4 separate regions of the Mus musculus genome follow, and all the other regions are reported to be linked to region 4. Evidence: microRNA targets listed by miRTarBase, many of them from high-throughput screens and not tested one by one. Region 4 holds a microRNA gene; each other region holds the end of a gene's coding sequence. Distances are between the middles of the regions.

What was found. Region 4 holds the annotated microRNA mmu-miR-3470b (UCACUCUGUAGACCAGGCUGG, at 3,509-3,529, opposite strand). A microRNA usually pairs through its seed, bases 2 to 8, with sites in the 3' UTR of a target mRNA and lowers its output. Matches are read on the target gene's strand: a 7mer-m8 pairs with bases 2 to 8, a 7mer-A1 pairs with bases 2 to 7 and ends in A, and an 8mer does both.
Region 1: the mRNA of 2510002D24Rik is a reported target of mmu-miR-3470b. Seed matches in the 3' UTR shown: 8mer at 4,473-4,480.
Region 2: the mRNA of Lrrc3 is a reported target of mmu-miR-3470b. Seed matches in the 3' UTR shown: 8mer at 3,414-3,421.
Region 3: miRTarBase lists Fsd1l as a target of mmu-miR-3470b. Seed matches in the 3' UTR shown: 7mer-A1 at 2,065-2,071.

Annotation. Positions count from the first base shown.
Region 1 is chr16:18,838,225-18,844,343 of GRCm38, reverse strand. It overlaps 2510002D24Rik (RIKEN cDNA 2510002D24 gene), which reads right to left. Exons shown (of 3, transcript NM_001033164.2): 3 at 4,231-5,254. The coding sequence ends at 5,129. Among named protein-coding and RNA genes, the nearest start is that of 2510002D24Rik, 4.7 kb to the right of the region's middle.
Region 2 is chr10:77,895,590-77,901,708 of GRCm38, forward strand. It overlaps Lrrc3 (leucine rich repeat containing 3), which reads right to left. Exons shown (of 2, transcript NM_145152.4): 2 at 1,986-6,119. The coding sequence starts at 6,011. The coding sequence ends at 5,238. It overlaps 1700009J07Rik (RIKEN cDNA 1700009J07 gene), which reads left to right. Exons shown (of 2, transcript NR_015547.1): 2 at 253-522. Among named protein-coding and RNA genes, the nearest start is that of Lrrc3, 3.9 kb to the right of the region's middle.
Region 3 is chr4:53,700,231-53,706,349 of GRCm38, forward strand. Fsd1l (fibronectin type III and SPRY domain containing 1-like) reads left to right here. Exons shown (of 13, transcript NM_001195284.1): 13 at 811-6,119. The coding sequence ends at 933. Among named protein-coding and RNA genes, the nearest start is that of Fktn, 11 kb to the right of the region's middle.
Region 4 is chr16:44,011,295-44,017,413 of GRCm38, reverse strand. Mir3470b (microRNA 3470b) reads right to left here and starts at 3,562; the gene lies at 3,437-3,562. It overlaps Gramd1c (GRAM domain containing 1C), which reads left to right. Exons shown (of 17, transcript NM_001359085.1): 6 at 4,377-4,492.

The DNA.
Region 1 (6,119 bases), 25 Mb from region 4:
GTCTCTCGTGAGTTCTTGGGGGTCCGCTATTATTCCAAGACTTGAGTGAGGGTCTCCCTTCCGGGGTCTTTCAGGATAAACAATTACTTTTGTAATATTGTTTGTTATGTGGGTCAACTGGGGTCAGTCACTTAATCCCTTGTAAAACTCTGTTAAAGAATTCTGTAAAGCATCCTTCATTCCTCCCGTTTGATGCTTTCTGTGTGGTTCAATAACAGAGCAAAACCCTTTGTCAGAGACAGACACATAGAAACAACAGACAAAAACAGGGACAGATTCACAAGACAGCCTTCACGCAGACACAGATTCAGGCTCATATACCGAAGGCATAGGGAACATAAAGAATTCAAACAAGAACTTGCTCTTGGTTAAACAACTCTAAAAGTTCTTTTCTTTCTTTCCTTGATGGACATCAACACATTACAAGAGCGTCAGGACCCAGAAACTCACCTTATTACTCCACAGAGCATTTCGATTTCCTCAATTATATCTGCATTCATCTATGTGTTGATCAGACTGTATACAATCTCACTACATAGCCCTGGAGAATTACCAGCCTAGTATGGTGTGGGGTTTTCACCATGAGTGACTGCTCTTCCAAAGGTCCTGAGTTCAATTCCCAGCAACCACATAGTGGCTCACAACCATCTGTAAAGCCCTCTTCTGGTGTGTCTAGAAATAGCTACAGTGTACTCATAGAAATAAATCTCTAAGACACCGTCAATAAGACAAAAAGACCACCAACAGATTGGGAAAGGATCTTTACCTATCCTAAATCAGATAGGGGACTAATATCCAACATATATAAAGAACTCAAGAAGGTGGACTTCAGAAAATCAAATAACCCCATTAAAAAATGGGGCTCAGAACTGAACAAAGAATTCTCACCTGAGGAATACCGAATGGCAGAGAAGCACTTGAAAAAATGTTCAACATCCTTAATCATCAGGGAAATGCAAATCAAAACAACCCTGAGATTCCACCTCACACCAGTCAGAATGGCTAAGATCAAAAATTCAGGTGACAGCAGATGCTGGCGAGGATGTGGAGAAAGAGGAACACTCCTCCATTGTTGGTGGGAGTGCAGGCTTGTACAACCACTCTGGAAATCAGTCTGGCGGTTCCTCAGAAAACTGGACATAGTACTACCGGAGGATCCAGCAATACCTCTCCTGGGCATATATCCAGAAGATGCCCCAACAGGTAAGAAGGACACATGCTCCACTATGTTCATAGCAGCCTTATTTATAATAGCCAGAAGCTGGAAAGAACCTAGATGCCCCTCAACAGAGGAATGGATACAGAAAATGTGGTACATCTACACAATGGAGTACTACTCAGCTATTAAAAAGAATGAATTTATGAAATTCCTAGCCAAATGGATGGACCTGGAGGGCATCATCCTGAGTGAGGTAACACATTGACAAAGAAACTCACACAATATGTATTCACTGATAAGTGGATATTAGCCCCAAACCTAGGATACCCAAGATATAAGATATAATTTGCTAAACACATGAAACTCAAGGAGAATGAAGACTGAAGTGTGGACACTATGCCCCTCCTTAGATTTGGGAACAAAACACCCATGGAAGGAGTTACAGAGACAAAGTTTGGAGCTGAGATGAAAGGATGGACCATGTAGAGACTGCCATAGCCAGGGATCCACCCCATAATCAGCATCCAAACGCTGACACCATTGCATACACTAGCAAGATTTTATTGAAAGGACGCAGATGTAGCTGTCTCTTGTGAGACTATGCCGGGGCCCAGCAAACACAGAAGTGGATGCTCACAGTCAGCTAATGGATGGATCATAGGGCTCCCAATGGAGGAGCTAGAGAAAGTAGCCAAGGAGCTAAAGGGATCTGCAACCCTATAGGTGGAACAACATTATGAGCTAACCAGTACCCCGGAGCTCTTGACTCTAGCTGCATATATATCAAAAGATGGCCTAGTCGGCCATCACTGGAAAGAGAGGCCCATTGGACTTGCAAACTTTTTTTTTTTTTTTTTTAAAGAGTTATTTATTTATTATATATAAGTACACTGTAGCTGTCTTCAGACACTCCAGAAGAGGGAGTCAGATCTCGTGATCGGATGGTTGTGAGCCACCATGTGGTTGCTGGGATTTGAACTCCTGACCTTCGGAAGAGCAGTCGGGTGCTCTTACCCACTGAGCCATCTCACCAGCCCGGACTTGCAAACTTTATATGCCCCAGTACAGGGGAATACCAGGGCCAAAAAGGGGGAGTGGGTGGGCAGGGGAGTGGGGGTGGGTGGATATGGGGGACTTTTGGTATAGCATTGGAAATGTAAATGAGTTAAATACCTAATAAAAAATGGAAAAAAAAAAGAAATAAATCTCTAAAACATTAAAAAAATAAAGAAACCTCTATGAGACCTAGTGTTCTTGTGTGTGTATGTATGTGTCTATGTGTATGTACATGCACGTCTGTGTATGTGTGCTTGTATGAATGTATGCACTTTTAAAAAATTAGGTATTTTCTTCATTTACATTTTAAATGCTATCCCAAAAGTCCCCCATACCCTCCCCTCTTACTCCCTAACCCACCCACTCCCACTTCTTGGCCCTGGCGTTCCCCTGTACTGAGGCATATAAAGTTTGCAAGACTAAGGGGCTTCTCTTCCCAATGATGGCCAATTAGGCCATCTTCTGAATGTATGCACTTTTGTAAGTGTGTTTGAGTGTATGCATTCATGTATGCATGTGTATGTATGTGACTGCTTATTCAGCTATATGAGTACACACGTGTGTATGTTGTATACATGGGTGTATTGTGCATACTCATTCATGTGCACATGCATGAGTGCATGTTTGTGTGCACATGTGTGTGTGTGCATGTGTGTTCATGAGTATAGTATATGCATGTGTGCATGCTCACAAATGTGCACACATGTGTGGACTTATGTTCATGCATATATTTTTGTGTATGCATGCAGCCACACATGTGTATATTTAAGTATATATTTAAAACACTATAAGAGAACAAAATAATAATCTGAGTATATAGCATATAGCATTGTTGGTTATATAGCTGTATGTCCACTTGACACAAGGTAGCAATGGTTCTTAACCTGTGGGTCTCGACATCTTTAGGGGTTGAACAACCCTTTCACAGGGGTTGTATATCAGGTATCCTGCATATCAGAGATTTACATTCCGATTTAATTAATTAATTAATTAATTAATTAATTATATGTAAGTACACTGTAGCTGGTCATGGTGGTTTTTGTTTGTTTGGTTTTGTTTTTAAATATTTGTTTGTTTGTTTGTTTATTATATAAAAGTACACTGTAGCTGTCTTCAGACACACCAGAAAAGGTTGTCAGATCTCATTACAGATGGTTGTGAGCCACCATGTGGTTGCTGGGAATTGAACTCAGGACCTCTGGAAGAGCAGTCAGTGCTCTTCTTAACCGCTGAGCCATCTCACCAGCCCACATTCTGATTTATAACAGTAGCAAAATTACAGTTATGAAGTAGCAATGAAAATAATTTTATGGTTTGGGCATTACTACAACATGAGGAACTGTATAAAAGGGTCACAGCCTTAGGAAGGTTGACAACCACTGAGCTAGGTTATCTGAAAGGAGGGAACCTTAGTTGAGAATGCTGCTGCTATAAATTCCAGCTGTAGGGCATTTTCTTTTTTTTTTTTTTTTTTTAAAGATTTATTTATTTATTATATGTAAGTACACTGTAGCTGTCTTCAGACACTCCATAAGAGGAAGTCAGATCTCATTAGGATGGTTGTGAGCCACCATGTGGTTGCTGGGATTTGAACTCTGGACCTTCAGAAGAGCAGTCGGGTGCTCTTACCCACTGAGCCATCTCACCAGCCCCTGTAGGGCATTTTCTTAATTAGTAATTGATGGGGAGGGTCCCACCCTTGGTGGGTGGTGCTATCACTGGACTGGTGGTCCTGAGTTCTGTAAGAAAGCAGGCTGAGCAATCCTTGAGGAGCAAGCCAGGAAACAGCACCCCTCCAGAGCCTCTGTATTACCTCCTGCCTCTGGTTTCTGCCTTGTTTGAGTCTCTATCTTGATTTTGGAATACAATGTGGAAATATAATCTGAATAAATTAAATCCTTTCCTCCCCAGCTTGCTTTTGGTCATGGTGTTTCAAAGCAGCAATAGAAACCCTAATTGAGACAGGTATAAAGTGTCACATGGCTTTAATTTTCAGGTTGCTTTTGGAATCAAACATGTGAAGCAGCTTTTTTAAAAAAATACATTAACAATGAGGAGAAATCAGGAGACCTAAACCCCATAGTCCTTGGACCTGAGCTCTGTCTGTGCCTTGGGACTTGGATGTCTTGATTCCAGACTCCTTGGTTCCTGCAATGCTGTCTGTCTGTCTGTCTTTCTTTTTTTTGTTGTTGTTTTTTTTTTTTTTTTTTTTTCTCGAGACAGGGTTTCTCTGTGTAGCTCCTGGCTGTCCTGGAACTCACTCTGTAGACCAGGCTGGCCTGCCTCTGTCTCCCGAGTGCTGGGATTAAAGGCGTGGGCCACCACCACCCAGTTCTCTCTCTCTCTCTCTCTCTCTCTCTCTCTCTCTCTCTCTTTCTTTCAAAGTCTGCAAAACCAGTAAAAGGTGCTGGTGCAGAGGACAAGTTGCCTACCCACTGAGCATGCTCTTCCGTGTCTCCAGGGAAGCTGAGCAAGCATGAGCTCCGCACTTGCATACCACGATAATCACTAGACAAGACATTGCAGTCCATCTCTCATGGCCAAGGAGGGTCATTCATAATCAAAATAAGGTAGTCTAGCAACCTTATTCTAACTACTGTGCCCTGGATCCACACAGGTTGGGGCTGCCACTGTGTACTTGAGATTTTCACAACTCTCGGCTGCCACATCTGGTGTTGATGTTCTCAGGGGAGATGGCATGGACAGAATGGACCCACCTGAGTGCTCACAGACACCTGCCTCAGTGCTTGGCTTCCAGCATGTGCACACAGGTGTCTTTCAGAGTATTACAGTGATGAAATGCCCAGATCCAGTGGGCAGCAGGCAATTAGGGCTGGAAATGCTTTGCTCTGTGTTCCAGGTCAAGTAAGAGCCAGTCAAAGTCTAGGTCAAGGGTAGGGTTGCAGTTGCTTATCACTTGTCCTTCTCCTGTGGTAGAGGGAGGTTCCAGTCCGTAGGGGGCCTTTGCCTCAAGGCCCATACCAAGGTGTGCTTCTGAGCAGCCTGGACCCGAACCTGCTCGCTCTCACAGAGGGATCGCTGTACAAATGAGACTTGGTCACTTACTGTTTCACCACTGGATCCTAGGGCTCTTAGTACTGCTGCATGGCACCTATATCACCCTCTTCCTCAACACTCTTCTGAAGAGAGGAACACATGGGAGCACATGGTACACACAGGCTCAGCTGCTTCTATACCACACTCCTTGGCAACTGTTCTGTTTTAGCACACACCGGTCATCTTACTTCAGCAGTTTTATTTTGTGTTCTTTGGACATGTTTTAGACAGGGTCTCAAGTAGCCCAGGCTGGTCTCAAGATCACTATGTATGACCTTCAATTCTGAGATTGTTGTCTCCACCTCCCGAGTGCCGCAATTATAAGCATGCACAACTATGTTCAGTCTCTGCCTTCAGCCATGCAAAACCCGCTAAGCCTCAGCAACAGCAGACCTGGAGAGTGTGGAGCTAGTTACCCGCCTAGCCTGGGAGTGAGGACACTGGGTGGGGAAGAGAGGGAGAGCGTCTAAAATTACTGTTGGACTCTGCACAGGGTATGTGTAAAAGGTGCCCCCCATCCTGCCAGCTTCTTTCAGCCACTGCCAACAGACACTAGACAGTGTATTATGACAGGGCTGATCCTGGCAAAGTGTCAGGTGCTATGTAGGCCTCTTTACAAACATTCTTAAACTGGGAGCGGTAGTATTCCCAACAGTTGGCAGACAAAGCCAAAAGGATCTGAAGTTCCAAACCAGCCTGGGCTATACAGCCAGACCCCATCTCTAACATGATCACATGATCATTATTACTTAATAAGCAAATAGGAGCCGGGCAGTGGTGGCACACGCCTTTAATCCCAGCACTTGGGAGGCAGAGGCAGGAGGATTTCTGAGTTCCAGGCCAGCCT
Region 2 (6,119 bases), not on the chromosome of region 4:
CATGGCTACTTCTGATGGCTAATGTCACCCAGTGACACTTGGGTGTCCGCTCCCTTTCTGGGCAGTATTGTTGCCATGGTTACAAGGGCAGAGCCAGTTTAAGCTTGAAGCATCCTGCCCCTGGCTGTGGCGGCCATGCAGACAGGTTTCGGGAACATGAACCAGTCTGTTTTGCCTCACACACTGGCGGCTGGCCTTTCTTCCATCTGTAGTCAACCAAGCTCTGGTCTTTTGTTTTGACAACACCCCAAGGCCCAACTCCCAAGTGACAGTGTCCAGGCCAGCCATCAGAGATGCAGATTCCAGCCCAAGCTGCCAGAAGCCAGCCACCACTAAGCAAGCACATCGCTTCTTCTGAACTTCAACACCCTTCTCTGAAGCAGACCAACCAACCACTGTAAGAACCAACTAAAATGCCCTTGAAAGCAAGCTGGTCCTGTCATGTGGAGGCTGAGGTACCCTCCCAGTGGCCCATGTCCTGAGTAAAGATAGTGTCCTAAGGGCTGCTGCTAGCCCAATGCTAGACTCCCAGAGTCATGGGATTTTTTTCAGCCCTGCCAGAGCTCCCTGGATGCAACCGACCTTCAGATCTCCCACCCACCCCTGCCCATAGCTTTGCCCTTGGTACCACCCAGAGGCCCTTTCCAAAGCAAATCCTTTCCTCTGATTCCAACACTAGCCTGTGGTGTGCAAGGCCAAGGGGTCCATTGCAAGTCCAGAGAGCTACAAAATTCCTCAGAATCCCAGGAAAGCAGCCGCCACCTCTGGATTCTGGAAAAGTCAAATAGATGCTGCTACAGAAGAGACCCTTAAGCAGGCAACTGCCTCTAGAGGCCTGGGGGGAGGGGCGAGGTGCAGATTAACACTCCCTCCAAAGACCACAGACACAGTGGGCCAGGAGTGAGGGATGGATGCAATGACAGGTGCATGTGTGCAGAAATGTAGTGCATGCCTCTAAATCTGCATGTGAGCCTGTGTACACTCACATGAGTGTAACAATATCTCTGTGTCTGTCTGGCTTACATGTAGTGGAAATGCATATGCATGTATTTATGTATGTGTGTATACGTGTGTGTGTGTGTGTGTGCACTTGCAGATTGTGGAAGCTCCTGGACTCCACTCTGGCTACACTGAAGGTTTCCTAGAAGGGACAAGCCAGTTTGCAGGGAAGGGAGACAGGCTGACGGGTGATGTGAACACTCTTTGGGTCTTCCAGCCACATTAACTGAAAACTGACTTGGGTGTGAGAGTGCTCCATGGCAGAAAAGCATTCTACAGAGGGAAAGAGATTGCATCCATTGTCCAGCCCAGAACCCAGAGAACAAGGCAGGATAGAAAGTAGGAAGGGATAACCCAGGCTGGTAGGTGGGTACCAGACCATCTGTGGGGACACAAAGTCTCCAGATAGGGCATCTGGAAACAGCAGTTGGAAAAGTTGGTGAGGCAGACAGGCGGGCAGCCGTGACCTCAGAGCAGGGATACAAAGCTGTCAGGAGACAATAAGCATCCATAGATGGTGAATCCCAAGGGCCATGGCCCTTGAGAAATCAAATCCTGAAGATTCAGAAAAGTTATCTTTGGCATGACAGTGTGGCCTAAGGATCATGGCTTTGTGGGAGCCACCCGCACTGTGGCTATCCGGGTGCTGCTGGCTCAGCCTGGAGGCCACGCTGAACTGTTCTCACACAGAGTGCTGTCAAATAATAACTGCTTCCAAGGATTATGAGGGTGGGATTCTGACATGTGATGTTTACCAATTTCCTTGGCGTCGAGCCTCTACGTGGTCAGATTCAAGGCACCATGGTACAAGCTGGCTCCCAGAATTCCTGAAAACTTAATGACGGCCATTATGATCTAACTATGACAATCAGTTGTCTAGCTAGTTGAAGATGCCCTCCCAGCTGTGAGGACCTGCAGACAGATGTTGACACGGTCGTGAGGGATGGGTGTCGGCTAGAATTGAAGATGACAGAATCCCAATCAGCTTTCCTGCACAAAAAGTTTTATTGAGGGCTCACAGAGAGGCTGGGAGAGGACAGAATCAGGTTCGGGGCTGAGCTTCCAAGAAAGGCAACATAGAAGCCATCCTAGGAGCCTAGTCCTAGTCCTGAGAGCTGCCACAGGCTCAGAACATTCCATCTCAGTCTGTGACTTACCACCCCTCAACCTCTAACCCCACCCAAGGATTTCAATTTAAACCGTGTCTTAGGCAATCACATGTAACTAGTGGGAGGGAAAGTGCCCAAAGGAGCCAGTGGGTGGGACCTGGGATGATAGGTTTATACTGATGGGGGTGAGGATGGGGCAGGACACTGAGCCATGTGGCAAAAATAAAAACAACAAAAAAAAACCCCGCCCACTGTGCCTGAGGAACACTCAAGTCGGGGTGGGGTGGGGGTGGAGATGCGCAGAGTAGGGGAGGACTGACCCAGAGTCCTGGAGATCTAGAGGGTCTGTGCAGAGTTGGGGGAGGAGAATATCTCATTCAAGGAGAGAAGGAAGGTGAAGCTGGTGGAAGCAGGTGGGATCCAGGGAGAAAGACAGTTTCAATGCAACCATCCACATCTGCAAGTCTCCAGCAGAGGCTCCAGCCTCATACACTTAGCCTGTGAGTTGGTCATGGGAAGGAAGGGAAGGGTATCTATATACATGAATGAATGACATGGAATGGGACGACAGGGAGATAAGACTCTGAGGCAGCAGGGTTGGAAGCTTGGATGAGCAGGAGAGTGCTGAGGTCTCTGAGGTCCTCCTTATAGGAGGACAGGGCATGCTCTCTCCAGGGTCCATACTCTCCTGAGTCTCCCATCTCCTCTTTCCAGCAAGGGCTGAGCAGGAGCTGTATAGATGTGCAACCAGGTAGGGCTAAGCCCTAGGTTAAGAGCAGCAAGCCTGGCAGTGGGTTGAGCAGCCTGGGACGGAGCCCTACCTACACCGGTGTATCTAAAAGACCCAATAGGGTGTTTCTGGGACAAGAGCAGCTACAGACTTCACCACCAGGCCTCCACCCATGTTCTTTTTTGACCTGGTTTTGTCGATGGGACAGACATGCTGGATAGTGGCAAGCTCCAGAAACAGGGTCCCTCTACTGAGTAGGATGGTAGAAAGGCCGCAGGGGCCAGCTACCTCCCAACTTGTGCCCCTGCCTGGAAGCAGCTACCGTCCCCACCACATGGTAATAGGAATGCAAGCCATACCCTCTGCACTGGCACCTCCCAGAGTATGTGTCAGGCTAGAGGTGTCCCTGTCCATGGGACATACATAGATAGCTACTTCAGCACTGCCACAGCACCAGGGTGGTACCTGGTCCTTAATCCAAGCCCTCAGCTCTGGCTTTTTTTTGTTTGTTTGTTTGGTTTGGTTTGGTTTTTTCGAGACAGGGTTTCTCTGTGTAGCCCTGGCTGTTCTGGAACTCACTCTGTAGACCAGGCTGGCCTTGAACTCAGAAATCTGCCTGCCTCTGCCTCTCAAGTGCTGGGATTAAAGGCGTGCGCCACCACTGCCTGGCTCAGCTCTGGCTTTTTAACCTCTTTTCCTTGGCACAGCACCCTCCAGGGTCCAAATCATACAGCCCTCAGCACCTGCCTCCTCTGAACACTTAACTGGGTACTGGGTATTGAGCATGTCTGTGCCAATGGGGGCCAGGCAGCATCACAACGTTGACTGGTGTCCCTAAGGAGGCTGCTTCGAGGTTCCAATTCTCATGGGAATGGGAATGGTCCTACTAGCTCCGCCAGGGTCTGACCCTGAAGACAGTGTAGCTTGGCCCAGGGCTGTGGAAGAATAGTGGACAGCTTGGGAGCTCATCCAGGGCTCTGTTCACCCTGCAGATGCCAGGCATGGTGGCCCCACGGTCACCATGTAGGTGTGGGCATTCAGCAGTGGGGAAAGTCTGGAATTCATGAGTGTTTTTCTCTTCCATATACTTTTGCAGCTGACAGCCATGTAGCCTCAGGCAAGTGTGTCACATGGTGACAGAACTGTGGGTCACACTGACGGTAAGGACCAAGTCAGGCCAGGCCCCCAACATAGTCTCACCTTGCCCCTGCAGATCACAAGAAAATTCCCAGCACACACAGAAGCCACATTCAATTTCTGCTCAGAGCGGCATCTAGACCCTATACTCAGCACACACACACACACACACACACACACACACACACACAGACACACACACTATGCTCATTTACTTCTCCCAGATACTCGATGACGACATAGCTTAGGGTATAAACACTTATACAAAAGGACAGTAAATAACAAAACTGGAAGTCAAGTCTAGTTAGGTGGCTAGAACATCTACCCCTGAAGATGAAGTAATTACAGGTAAGAAAGTTGATCAGTGAGCTCTGGGATTTCAGCGAGGTGAAGAGAAGGTTCTTGTTGCTAGAGAAAAGCAGTTCCTGTTGACTGGCATGGCAACCTCAAACTTCAGTCCCTCCTCTTTCTGAAAAAACAGCTGCTTTAGATATTGGCAGTAGAAAGCAAGGCACAAGAGCCACCGAGGTTGACAGGTTTCCACTGCCCAGGAATGGATAGAAGTGGCAGAAGCTGAGGCAGCCCATAAGTGGTCTAGCAGCTGACACGGCCATGGTGAGCCCATGCTGGACCTTTCTCACGTTTCTCCATTTTCTCCCTCTCGATGGACTGACATTTTGGCACAAGGGCAACTAAAGAACTCCCAGGACAAAGGTCAGAGCAGACCAGTGCAGGCTGGACTTTGCACTGACCTCTCTGGAAAGGTCTAGATTGCCGGTACTTTGCTCTGGGAAAGGGCAAACATCTCTGTGTTCAGATGTACTGGGAGAGCAGGGGTAAACAGAAATGAGCCATTCCCCGGTGGCAAAACTGCTGGCGCCATCCTCCCTGCCAGGGCCCCCATCCTTGCGTGCACAAGTATTTACTTCCCACAGCATGGTGTGGGAAAGGGAGGTTGGCAGATCAGACGGCTCACAGACCTATACCACAAACAGCCTGGGTTTAAGTGGCAGCTGAAGCCAGCCTTGGCAAGGAGTTCCGTTTCTCTCGACCTCCATTTACCTACCCATTAAGATGGGCAAACCCCCCTCCCCCCGCTACAGTGTTAGGCAGTGGCTGCAGGGACCAAATACCAACTATGAAAGTGCTTTTTTGGGCTGAACAGCTGCAATGCACCTCCCTGGGGACACAAGAGCACCATCACCTCCACCTGCTGCAGAAAGACAGGGTAGCCAGGCTCAGTGGCCCACCGGAGGTGGGTGCTAGGGCACAGGGCTAAGAGGCTCCTTGGAGACTGGAGCACTAGGCAGGGACTTCAGGTACTCCAGGTGTCGTCTGGCATCCTCCTGGTTGTGGCGTACGTAGTACACTACGTAGGCAATCACCATGGTAAACCAGCCGAACATGGTGACCAGCATGGCGACATCGGTGGTCTTCCGGTGGGTACTGCAGAAGCTGGCACCTGAGTCCAGGACCTGGATCAGCGGCTTGCCCACAAACTGCTCCTGCGCTGAGGTGTGGCAGGCAATTTCATCCACGGAGTCCGGGTCCAGCTTTAGTTCCCACAGGGCCTCCTGCAGGGCACACTCACAGTGCAGTGGATTGTGGGACAGGCGGATCTTGGCACTCAACTTGCCCAGGGCGTCCTTTGGAATTCTTCGGATGCGATTGTGGGATAAGTCCAGCAGCCGCAGGCCCCCAGCCAGACCTGAGAAGGCTGCTGGCCCAATGGCCTCAATGGCATTATGGGACAGGTCCAGCTCCCTCAGCTGAGGCAGGTGTTGGAAGGCTCCATTGGGGACTCGGGAGATTCTGTTGGCGTCTAGTTTCAGAAGCACCGTGTCGGCTGGGATGTCCCTAGGGATCTCCTGCAGCCCTCTTGAGCTGCAATGGACAGCCACGGCCCCAGCATGGTCAGGGCACTGGCAGGCCTGTGGGCAGGAGGCACCTAACCGTAAGCAGAAGAGGATGAAGAAGCAAGACCCCTGGGAGGGGGCCAGTGTGGCTGAGGGGCTCTGCCTGCCCCTGGGGCCCATGTTGCCTCCACCTGACCCAGGTAGCTCTTCTCCACTGGGATGTGCAAGCGACTGTCCTTCCTCACGTTGCAGGCAGTCATCCAACACAAACTCTTGTGTCTTCGCCTG
Region 3 (6,119 bases), not on the chromosome of region 4:
TCCCAGCCAGCATGTGCTGTCACTTGCATTTTTGATCTTAGGCTTCTGACAGGTGTAGTGGAATCTCGGAGAAGTTTTAATTTGCGTATCCCTGATGGCTATGGATGTTGAACATTTAAGTGCTTCTTGTCTATTTGAGAGTCCTCTACTGAGAATCCTGTTTAAATCTGTACCCCATTTTTAATAGGATTATTTGGTTTGTTGATGTCTAATTTTTTGAGCTCTTTATATATTTTGGAAACTAGCCCTCTATCAGATGTGGAGTTGTTGAAAATCTTTTTCCAGTTTGTAGGCCGCCATTTTGTTCTAATGATGGGGCCTTTGCTTTACAGACGGTTCTCATCTCATGGGGTCCTATTTATTAATTGAGATCTTAGGACATGAGTGATTGGTGTTCTGTTCAGGGCAAGTGTCTCAAAGGATCATATGTCCTGTCTAAAGCTATGTCTCAATATTAACGTCATAAATGTGATATAAGCTTCTTAGGGGTACAGTCCCCTGGTTATAAACATTAGGGAAGTACCAATACTCAGTATTGCTTGCTGAGGTTAATCTGCTTTGTTCTCCTGAGTTTCCGCTGCCCTGTGTTCCCTTTCCTGGGCACAGATTCGGTGGCTTCTACGACACAGCCAGCCTTTGGCCGCTGTGAGCCTTTTCATCTCTCCTCAGCTCGAGCACGAAGCTTATCAGTTTGGGATTTGTTGATGTTCATCCCTGTGACATTTTGCCTTTCAAATGGAAAGTTAAGGATTACTGGAGTTATAATTGGATTTGAGTTTAACTGAGACTTTGTTTTTTGTCTTCTCTTAGGTGTGGTGTGGTGGACTTTCTTTGAGTACTGGAATGCAGGTTCCAAGTGCTGTGAGAACACTTCAGAAAAGTGAAAACGGAATGACTGGTTCAACTAGCAGCCTGAACAATGTCACTCAGTAATGGCAACTCAGACTGTTTCCCTTCCCTTTGACTGTGTGGCCTTTCCCACACAGTTACTAACAGATATTTCTGAGTGGTGGAATCAGGTTTTCTATGTTCTGCTTTAAAGCCTGGAGTCTGTTAGATTAACTACCAAATAGGAAGCAGCCATGGAGGTTATTGCCTGCGTCCCAGAATCAAGCAGTTGGGGTGCAGGAGGCTGACATAGTGATATTGAGTAGTGATTAGGAAAGGGGCGGTGTTGAACTGTTTGTGTAGAAAGCCATCTTTCTGTCTCTTAAGCTCCTCTGGTTTGTCTGGTAGGTGTAATTACGCCTGGCGAGCCCTGGGCCCGGGTTGCTAAGCATTAAAAGCTTGCCTTTCTCCCTGCCCTTGCTCTGTTTCTGCTCCTCACCGGCTGTCATTACATGCTACACTGAGGCTTTAAAAACACAAGGTCCCCCAAGGCTTCCTAGAAATTGAAATCTTTGCCTAGGCAGAGAAATTGACCTATGGTGGCTTATTTTAGTCTTTTATAAATAAACTGAGTTTTTGATAGGGTAACTTATGGATTGACTAGATTCATATCACTTTCTCCTCTAAAATATTGTAGTATTTTCTTATAGTTATAACTCAAAAATATCAAGCAGACAGAGAATTTAGGCAGTGCAAAGGAGTATTCTTGTGTGTTTGTGTTGAGTCATTCTGTCCATTCCTCCACCAGCTCCTGGGCACCACCTGAGAAACCGTGCTCTCTAAGTTTGTTCTCTGCTTTGACCCCACTTTTATAGCTGTCTTTGCATCTTTGATAAAACTTCCACTTGAATTTGGCACTGATAATAATTATTGCTTATGAAAGTTTGTGAATTAAGTTCTTTATAAAGGGTAAAAAGCTGTATATTGCTGGGTTTTGTTGTTTTTTTGTTTTGTTTTTTTTTGTTTTTTGTCTGTGTAAGATTATAAAGAAATGTGCCTAAAGTATTCTTTTCTGGAATAATTTGTATGTTCTTTTATAAAGATATGGATTGGTTTACCAGCTGTTTAAAAAAAAAAACATGTGTCCTAGCTGGGCATAGTGGTGCATACCTTTAATCCCAGCACTTGGGAGGCAGAGGCAGGTGAATTTCTAAGTTCAAGGCCAGCTTGGTCTATAGAGTGAGTTCCAGGACAGCCAGGACTACACAGAGAAACCCTGTCTCAAAAAAACCAACCAAACAAAAACAAAAACAAAATGTGTCCTACTTAATTGGTATATGTGTTTTTCAAACAATCATTTGAGGGGTGTTTTGATTTGGTTTGGTTTTTGTTTCTGTCTTTTTGGTCCATTCATTCACTGTTTAAAAGTTTATGATTCTTCCAAAAATGAATATAGTTTCCTTTTTCAAATCTGAAGGCATGTGGGAAGCAGTGAGCAAAACCTGTGGTTATTAACGGAAAAGTCTTTTATTACAAAGTCAATTAAAACTTTTCATTCAAGGTTTTTGAGCCAAACTAGAAGTTGAGATTGTAAAACTGCTTTAAGAACTTTAAAGAAATGAATATTTGATCTCTGATTAATTTTTGAGACTTCTAAATCTCTTCTTGTTTTAAGTTTCTTGGACTTCTGACAAACTTCCCTGGAGAAGTGTTCATTTTTGTTTTCTTCATGTAGCTTGTAGATCATAATAAGTATTTGCTCTTAAAATTTACTACTTAGTAGCATGATTATTTTTGTTCTGTTGATGAAGCAAATTTGACAGAATATTATTTCTCCATATCACACATATCTACACTATTATCTGATAACACACTGGTAGTTTTTAAGACTAAGGCAGTTTATAGAATGAAGTATATCAATATTCTTTTGGTTTCCCAAAGCAATATTTTACTTTTCATTTATTATAGTTTGAAAGACATTTTTCATTGTTCCATTACCTATAGAAATGGTATTTCATGACCTAGGGAAAAAGGAATTACTCCTTTTTGTAGACTCATACCTGAAAGCAGTGATTTACTAGAATTGCTTTGTGTGGCTACTAAGTTTATTTTGTCAAAAATGACAAGGAAAAAGCCAGCTGTTTTCATAGACCTTTTCATTATGATACTGTATCTTGCATAGTTGAATCTTCTCATTTATACAGTGCCTTTTTCTCATGCTCATTGTCTACTGACTTTAAGGCAGGCAACACTGGACCATAGTGGTGCAGGCCTTCTATTGAGGCCAGAGGAGCAAGTGTGCTTCTTCCTTGTCCTTGTCCCATCATTGAGACCTTCATCTACAGTTTCCAAACAGTCATTGGAAAACGCACGACAGTTACCCAGAAGGTTTTATTTCTCAGCAGATTTGTAGAATGAAGTATAACGTCAGTGAATGAGAGTCCAAGTTCTTATCACACGATATTAGGTACTAATTATACCCTCATTGCTTTAAAATACACATCAGGGTCTCTTTTAAAAATAGAACAAATCTGTAGTATTTAAGTTTAAAAATCTTAAGTTTATTATGTTAAATTGAATTTTGTCAACCCTTCTTTTTAAATTAAAATAATTGAATAGAGTGCCTAGTTAAATTTTCTCAAAGCAAGGTAACTGCTCAGCTCAGTCAGCTGTGGCAAGCTGGCCAGCCCTCTTCACTCCAGCGTTCTTCACTGCTCTATGTCTGCTTACACAGCTTGGACATGGCTGCTTTCCATGAAGGAAATATAGGGGAGGTGGACTGTAAGGGATATATAACCAGTGTGAAGAACTGCTTCATAAAATATGTATTAAGTATTGTATTTCCCTCTTAGCAGTTGAATCCAAACCAGTTTCATTTAGCTGGAAGTAGACAGGAAGGAGCTGCCTTAAGCACTTTAGAAAAAGAATTTGCTACAATTCATTTGACTCAGCTGATTGTGTCACATCTTTTAAATACTGGTAAATATGGATATACCAAGTATTTAATGACTAATGCACATAGAAATTAATATTAATACAGTGATCTTTTGAATGTTCCAGGTATAGGCTTTTTAAAAAGTGTTAAGAGTGTCTGTCTGTCTGTCTGTCTGTCTGTCTGTCTGTACGTTTAATTGATAGCACCTCTGCCGTGTGTCATCAACTACTAGACAGCCAGGCTAAGCCTTCTCATTCTGTTCTGAAGATTCTAAAAAAATTCGAACCATCAACAATAGTATGTATAATTTGAACTTCCATGATTGATCCTTGATATAAATAATAAAAGAAAATATTTATGATGAAATATTTTAATTAGGTCAATTATCTAGAATTACCTAGTTTTGTCTATATATCTTTTCCATGAAATTATAGCTATCTATGTATTTGTAGTTGTTTCTTTCAAAAACAATTTTTAAAAATTGGAAAGGGATATATATGAGAAGTGATTACTCCAAAGAATATTAATCTTAAAAGAAAGCAGTATAGATGTCTTACCATGAAATACATTACTCTAGGCTAAAATTTCAACTGTTTTAGTCATAGATTTTTAGCATCTTTGTTAGATCAGCATATAATTCATATAACTACTTAAGTTTTTATGATGTATCATCAATTTTATTACTTTCTGTCTATGTTTGCAAAAGTAGTAGAGTTTAATTCACCATATGAACCTCATTCTGATGTTTTTGATTTGATAGTCTTGATCTAAAAATAATGTTTTGTTAATATGTCACTAAATTTCTAAAAACTGTATTCATGGGCTGCTGAGATGGCTCACAAGAAAAGCACTTGCTGCCAACTGGATGACTTGAGTTTGTTCCCTGGGACCCAAATGGAAGGGGAGACTTATCTCCTGCAAGTTGTCTTTTAACCTGCGCATGTGTGTGCACATGTGCATGCGCATACACACACACACACACACACACACACATACCTTAAAAATTTTTTAAAGTACATTTGTTGTTGCTTGTAAATTAACTACTCGTAGTAATATTTCACTTTTACATTATAATAAAAAGTTTGGAAAAGTTACTTTTCTTGTTTTATTTTTACATCATATTCATTCTGTCAGAAGTAAGCATGAAATTACTCAGTATCCATGTCACCACCAAGTTGTTGTTTTCAAGCCAGTATATTTTTTCATAACTCCAGTGCTCAGACCTAGAGTAATAAAGCTTTTCTTACAGAAAACCATCACAGCGACATTACCTCATGTTTGTATGTTTAGTTTTGTGTCTCGTAACAGTGTTCACATTTGTGATTCTGATGTCAGTATTGTGTCACCTGAGCGGGATGATTACCTGAGTACCATAGGAACTTTGTACCAGTTGGAATTTAAGTGGACTGTTTGCTGCTTTTGTTCGCATTGGAACGTTGGACATGCCATATGATACTGGCTTAGTAATCAATACCAGTAATTACCATAGAACTTTATCTGACTACCCAACCATATCAAAAGAGTACTTTTTTCTGGGTTAATAATACTAGCTTTGATACATAATCATTTAAGTTATATTTGTTTAAAATTATATATTTTCTTAGTAATAGTCAAGTTGGTGCTTAGGAATAAACATGTAGAAGTTTATGCAGTATGTAGGGCAGAGGTCAGTGAATGTATTTGCTTGGCTTGGAACTTAAGATTGAACCAATTTTACAATAAATCAAATTGGAAGAAATTGGTAAAAGGCATTTTAGTAATATTGGAACTTTTTGAAGTGTGTGGGACTATGAGAAGAATTTCTTACTAACATTTCCAATATCTGTAAGATACCAAAGGACTGAGACTAACTGATCTTTTAATGGAATTTCTTTGAAATCAAATCCATAACTGATTCTATTAAGATACAATAGCTAAAGTTGGGGAATAACTTCAGGTAAAAACTGCAAGTCTTGAAGATTTTTGGCATTCTTTTAAGTATTTAAACTTAATCTTTATAGCTGCCCCATACAGTAATCTATGACCTCTCTGAATCACTCTTCAATCTTGGGCCTCTATTGCCTTACTTCAAATATTGTACCTTGTTTAGCCTACCTCACAGGGCTGTTGTGAGGAGTGTAGTGAAACGGACTCTCATGTGAACTGGGTGGTTTCCACTAAGAATGGTTGTGTTTGGATACTTGTAAATGCTGTTTAGTTAGAAAAAGCATGTTAAGTTGGTATAAGCAGTGATTTTAAATGATTTTTAAAAATAAGACGTCCTTCAAAATGTCTTTTAGTATCAATTAAGTTTGTGCATGATTGTTTTTATATTTCTCATCAACTACACAACTTTTCCAAGTTATAAAGTCTACTG
Region 4 (6,119 bases):
CCAGTGTGCCTCCTTCCCAGGAAGAGGAAAGAGTGGAGTCCTTCCTTCCTTCCTTCCTTCCTTCCTCCCTCCCTCCCCCCCCCTCTCTCTTTCTTTCTTTCTTCCTTGGTAAGGTCTTTTTATTATGTAGCTCTAACTGTCCTAGAACTCACTGTATCACAATGTAGACTACGAGATCCACCTGCCTCTGCCTCCTGAATGCTGGGATTAAAGGTGTGTGCCACCCACACTAGGTTGACAGGAGGGTGTGGGACCCTTCAGTGTCACCTTGGTAAAGCCATTAGACGTTAGTATTCTCAAAGCTGGTCTTGGTAGTCAGTCAAGCAACATTTGACCCGAAGGTACACTTTACTAAATTAACAGAGAGAACTGTTAGAAATTAGGGCAAGTCTTGATTTCTCATTTAAAACATTTCTCTTTTGGAAAAATTAAAATTGGTAGATGAGACTCTGTGTCCTATTCGTTATAGTCCAGGACTCTGCCAGGAAATTGTTCTGAATGAACTAAAGCCAGAGATGTTTTCAAGGTAAAGAGTCATCGAGTAATCGAGACGTCACCTTAAACTTTGCAGTGACGAAAGCCATGCCGAATGCCTCACCTGAAGAGCTGGCTCTTCCGACTACTCCCCAACATTCCATTTAGGGTACTCAGGATAGGATCTATGCTAGCTGTGATGGCAGGAGTCTGAAGCGAATACTGGTCAGTGCTGATGTGGAATAAGAATAGGTATCAATGACTCGCTAGAGTTGAATTGAAAACTGTTGTCATGGGGAGGTTAAGTTTTAACATAGTTAATTTTCACGTGGGGTTAAAATAATATTGCAGTAGGTGTTTTACATTATTTGAGCAAATGTAAGATCTTTCCATTTGCACCCTGTCGCTAATCAGCGTGTACAGTAGAAGAAATTCGGAACCGTCCCTTTAATAAAACATTCTTTCCCTAGCCTCTTCCAGTGGGCGTGGCTTAGGAACCTGTCGAGTGAGGTGTGACTTCAGCTCTGCAGGCTGACCGGCCCCCTGGAAAGAGGGCTGGTGCTCAGAACCAGGAAGCAACAACTGAAGCTTCACACAGCACTGGCTTTTACGTGGCGAAGAGCCCCGTAAAGAGTAGGAAACTGAAGTACCGAGTTTGCTTAGCTGTTATCAAAGTTTTGAAGCTCTAACTGTGGATAAAGACTCCATAGAGTACTTAGAATACCAAGCTTTCTGGGCCAGAAATTGATCTGCTGACTTTTGACTCCTATCTGATTACTGCTTGGTTCATCTTTATTTTGCTCAAGTTATCTATCTGCAGGCTGAACCCAGAGCCGCTCCGCTCCTTTGCAGGTAGGTGGTCGACTTTCAAATAATATTTAGGTCGGTTTTTGTTTTTTTTTAAGGCTCAGCTGCTAAATACTGAAAAAGTTGCGACTATCAGACTGGCATGTTTGAATAGCGTGATTGTAAATAGTCACGTTTTTGAGACAGCTGGACAACCTTGCAGAAATAGTCATTTTTAACAAATTAGCACCATGAATTAAATGAGTTTTGTTTTGTTTCCCATTAACCAATTATGTATTTACATTTAACTAATGGATGAAAATGTATGTTGAAATTATCTTGCTAATTAACTTAAATAGCATTTTGTTCTCAGGTTTTGCTCGCCAGTTGCATGTCTTTTACCGTTAGGAAGCTGAGTGTTCACCACCAAGTCATTTGTTTGCTTTAGTTTTTATCTTCGGAAACGTCTATTATTTCAAAAAAAGTTTTTGTGAACGGTTAATAATCTAACACAGTTGTGCTGAAAAATCGCCTTCTTCTGGTAAAGCTATCTAACCATCCTTTTGCGATATGAAAACGGTTCCAATGATGATGTCTCTGGAAGACTTAGTTAATTCACAGTATGAATTATTGTTATGAAAACAGAATCCACACAGAATCTCTGGGGTAGAAGGCGAGTCCCTTTAGGACCAAGGACAGGAGCATCCTTAACTGTCACTAATGGGCCTTTATATTTTTCTTCTCTGGATATTCTACTTGAGAAGACTTCATCCGCTAAAAGGACAGTTGTAGGAAATAGAGAGCATCGCAGAGTTTGTTTTCTAGATGTGTGATTTTTCAGTTAGAGTTCTCCAACCTGGGATTTCTACTCCGCGTTCACATAATCAGCTGGAAGCAAAGAGGCATGTTTTTCTTAGCTTGCCTCCTTTATTGCAGGTTTTTGAATATTTTTGACATTTTTGAAGTGTAGATAATGACATCTGAATTGTCATCAGCTGGTTTTGTGGTCATCTTGGCAAACTGGGATATAGCTGCCGCAAGTCCAGACCATTTTCCTTTTAAGCTCCCTGGTTCCATGAAGTGTAAGGAGAGTCATCTAGTAAAAACCAGGACACAGAGCTGCTCCTGGGAGGAGGGAAAGGCGGTGGTGGTTGTTGTAGGGGCTGAACACCGGGGCTGAATTCAGGGCCTTTATACATTTGGCCCCATTATATATTTTTACATTCAACCTCTTAACTTTGAAACATTTCTCTGATTGGGCTAGGAGATGACTTACTTGCTAGCTTCATAACTAATGTTACTTCTGTCCATCTCTGCCCTCCCTATGGGTTGGTCGTCTTCTCTCCATCTCTTCTAGTTTTTCTTCACGAATCCGTCTGTCCTCTAGCTTACCCAGAAGCCTATCTCCTCGGTGGAGCCTCATCTGGCCACCTTGGTCCTCAATAATATTAACTCCTTTTGCACTTCCCTATCCCATAGACTCTTCCAGCCCATTAGCACATGATCATGTGCATCTGATTTAAGAGTGCCCTGTATCCTTCAGACATGAGTACTAAATTCGGAGATTGTTTTTATACCCTTTGGATCTAGAGCGGTGCCACAGGTTTCATTCCCAATAAAGACCTGTGGAATGGATGGAAGATCGTATTGACAGTTGCTTCAAGTACCATGCTGTCTCTCTCTCTTGTCTTGCTTAATCATGTAATTAATTGCAATGTTCCCGGAGACCAGTCTGTTACTATGATATGATGTTATTTTCCCAAATAGTTTACAGCTTGCTTTATTTGGTGATTAAGGTTTTTTTTTTTTTAAGTGGGTCGGTGTGTGTGTGTGATGCCCATGGAATCCCGAAGGGTGTGTCAGTTGGAGTTACAGATTTACAGATGTTTGTGACTTGCCTCATGTGGGAGCTAGGATGTGGCCACTGGTCCTTTGGTGGAGCAGCAAGCACTCTTAACCACGGGTACATTTCTCGGCTGTACTTGGTAACTTTACCACTGACATGCTGTCTATAAAGGAAGCAAGCTAGAATTTACTAAAAGTAAATTAGTATTCTGAAGGTTGTTTTCTTGCATTTTATATTTTAGGAAAATGTAATTTGGAGCTCATTGGTGTGCAAAGTTCTAAAAATGCTTAAAATATTCAGATACAATCGTGAATTAGAAGTTTTGGTTCTCGGGCATTGGTAGCGCATGCCTTTAGTCCCAGCACTCGGGAGGCAGAGGCAGGTGAATTTTTGAGTTCAAGGCCAGCCTGGTCTACAGAGTGAGTGCCAGGACAGCCAAGGCTACACAGAGAATCCCTGTCTCGGAAAAAAAAAAAAATTTGGTTCTGAGTTAACATTTAGGACAACTCTGAATTGTGATCATAGGTTGTATGGATTTCAGATCAGTAATTAGCAGAAATGATAAGTAACTTACTTTTATAGAAAAAAAATCACTTTAAGCATCTTTACTGAAGTGTACTTCTGCACAGTAGCCTCTTTAATACACACTTTGAAAACCCACCATTTTCTAAGTGGAATGTGCCTTTTAGTTTCAACTTCTTTGGAGAATAGCTCAAGCCCAAGATCGGCCTTGAGAATGTGGTTAAACCCTGTGAGAAACGATTATCTGTTTATCGATTTAACTCTTGGTTTAATTATTTATTCTTACATTTTTGCCTACATATAGGTCTGTGCACCACTCGTGCGCCTGAGATGGCCAGAAGATCCCCTGGAACTGGAGTCATAGGTGGTTGTGAGCCACCATGCAGGTGCTGGGAATCAAACCCAGGTCCTCTAGAAGAGCAGCCAGTGCTCTTATCCATGGGACTTCCTCTTGAATGTCTCTTATCAAATGGGCATATTTAACCTTTCCTTTTCAGCGATGGGGATGGAGCTCTGCAGAGCCTTGTGGATGATATGCAGTTCTCAACCACTAAGCTATTATGCCCAGCTCCCATTAACCCTTTTTTTTAAAAATAGAAAATAGGGAGACAAATAGGCCAGGATCTATCCGAGCCACACCTTGACTGCTCACACCACGGCTCCTCTGACTTTGGCCTTTGTGCTTTGAATTACAGTTACGTTATCTGTTGCATTTTCCAATAGTCACGCAATGTTTCTGTCATCTTAGAGCCTGACCAGACAGGAGTTCTGGCAACTGCTCCAGCAGAACTATGGCACGGAGCTAGGCTTAAACGCTGAAGAAATGGAACACTTGTTATCAGTTGAAGAAAATGTGCAGCCAAGGTACAGTGAAGCAACGTAGAGTGTCAAGGTGCATTATGGCCCATCACAGTGGGATCATTGTAGGTCGTTTCAGTTCTGAATTTCTTTGAACTCATCGTTTGGTGCGGTTTGCCCTCTTGTTGGTAGAGTGCAAGTTGGGAGAGAAGAGACTCATTTGCTAAGTTGGTAAGCACGTGTGGGACGTGAAGAAATGTTAGAGATGAGGCTATGACTCTTAGAATTTACTACTAGAAAGCCTTTTTATTAAGGATCTGGAGCAGGGGCTGGTGAGATCTCACAGGAGACACTAGAGCAATTTGAGGGTTAGGGTGGTTTCATGACTTTTCCTCAAAGTCTCCCTAGCACCGTGGCATGTGTCCCACATTCAGTAGACACCGATCACCTTAGTCAAAGGAGCTGACCGTGCCGTGGGGGATGCAAGCAATGGTAATGTCAGGGTCATGTGCTGCTATAGTGTGATAAAGAAATTAGTAGAGAGATTATTTGGACAGCTGTTCATTAAGAAGTGTGAATATTTTACTAACTCTCCAAGTTAAAAAAAAATGTACCTTATCAATGTTAATTGAGACCATAGCCTCAATAAACAAAGATAATACATTAAAATTCTGTAGCATTTTACATTAGGCTAAATGAGAGAAGCCAAGATCCAAGGACCATTTGCCTTTTTGGTTGGTTGCCTATCGGGTAGCGGCTGAGCCATCTCTGCAGCCCTCCAAATCTTATAATGTAAATATGTTGAAAGTCTGAATACATACACAGACGCTCCTCTCCTCTGGGCAGTCTGCTCCAACCTATGTTGTCTCAGTTTACATCAATATTTTTATAGTCTTTTTTTCACATGGCTACCCATGCATATTTTATAACTTTCCTGTAAAGTTCACATTTTTCCATTACCCTGCTGTCATTAATAAAGTTTACTAGTAGTCCTTAGGTACCGAAAAGGTGTAGAAAATCAGGTTACTAACGCGGAGAGCCTTGGGACCTTGAGAGTCAATAGGATCTGGATTGTGCTTTGTAGCTGAGATATCTCAGGCAAACCTTTGGACATTCCCAGGCCTCAGTTTCCCCATCTATGAACAGTTAGATTCAGTGGCCTTCAAGGTCTCTGCTGACCTGTGAACTTCGTAGCGTCTGAAGCAGGAAAGAATACGTATCTAGACCGAGTCTCTCATGCACATTGGAGGTCACCAGTGAAGCTGTCTTCTTCTCCGGGTGACTGTTTTCTAAGAAAATGTGGAGCAGGATCCTCGTGCCTGGCTCTCTCTTGCTCCTTTTCCCTCTGAAAACAGAAGTCTGCTTCAAACCTCAGCTCTCCATGTTCTTTGTCTCTGTTCTCACTCTTGCATTCCCTTCTTTCCTTTCCTCTCTCCTTTCTAACTCCCATCCTCCTTAAGCTCCTGAGATCTCCACACTCAACTGGTAAGCTATTTAGAGGATTTTTTTTTTTTCATTTTCCTCTCTTGCATCCATGGAGTCCCACAATTCTGCCTATCCAGGAGGGAGCTGGTAGCAGGCCTATTAATCATTATTCAGGCAGAGTTAAATAGGGCTTGTGCTGATTTATTTTATTTTATGTCCACTTGACACAAGCTAGAGTCATCAGAGGAGGGAACCTCAACGAGAAAAT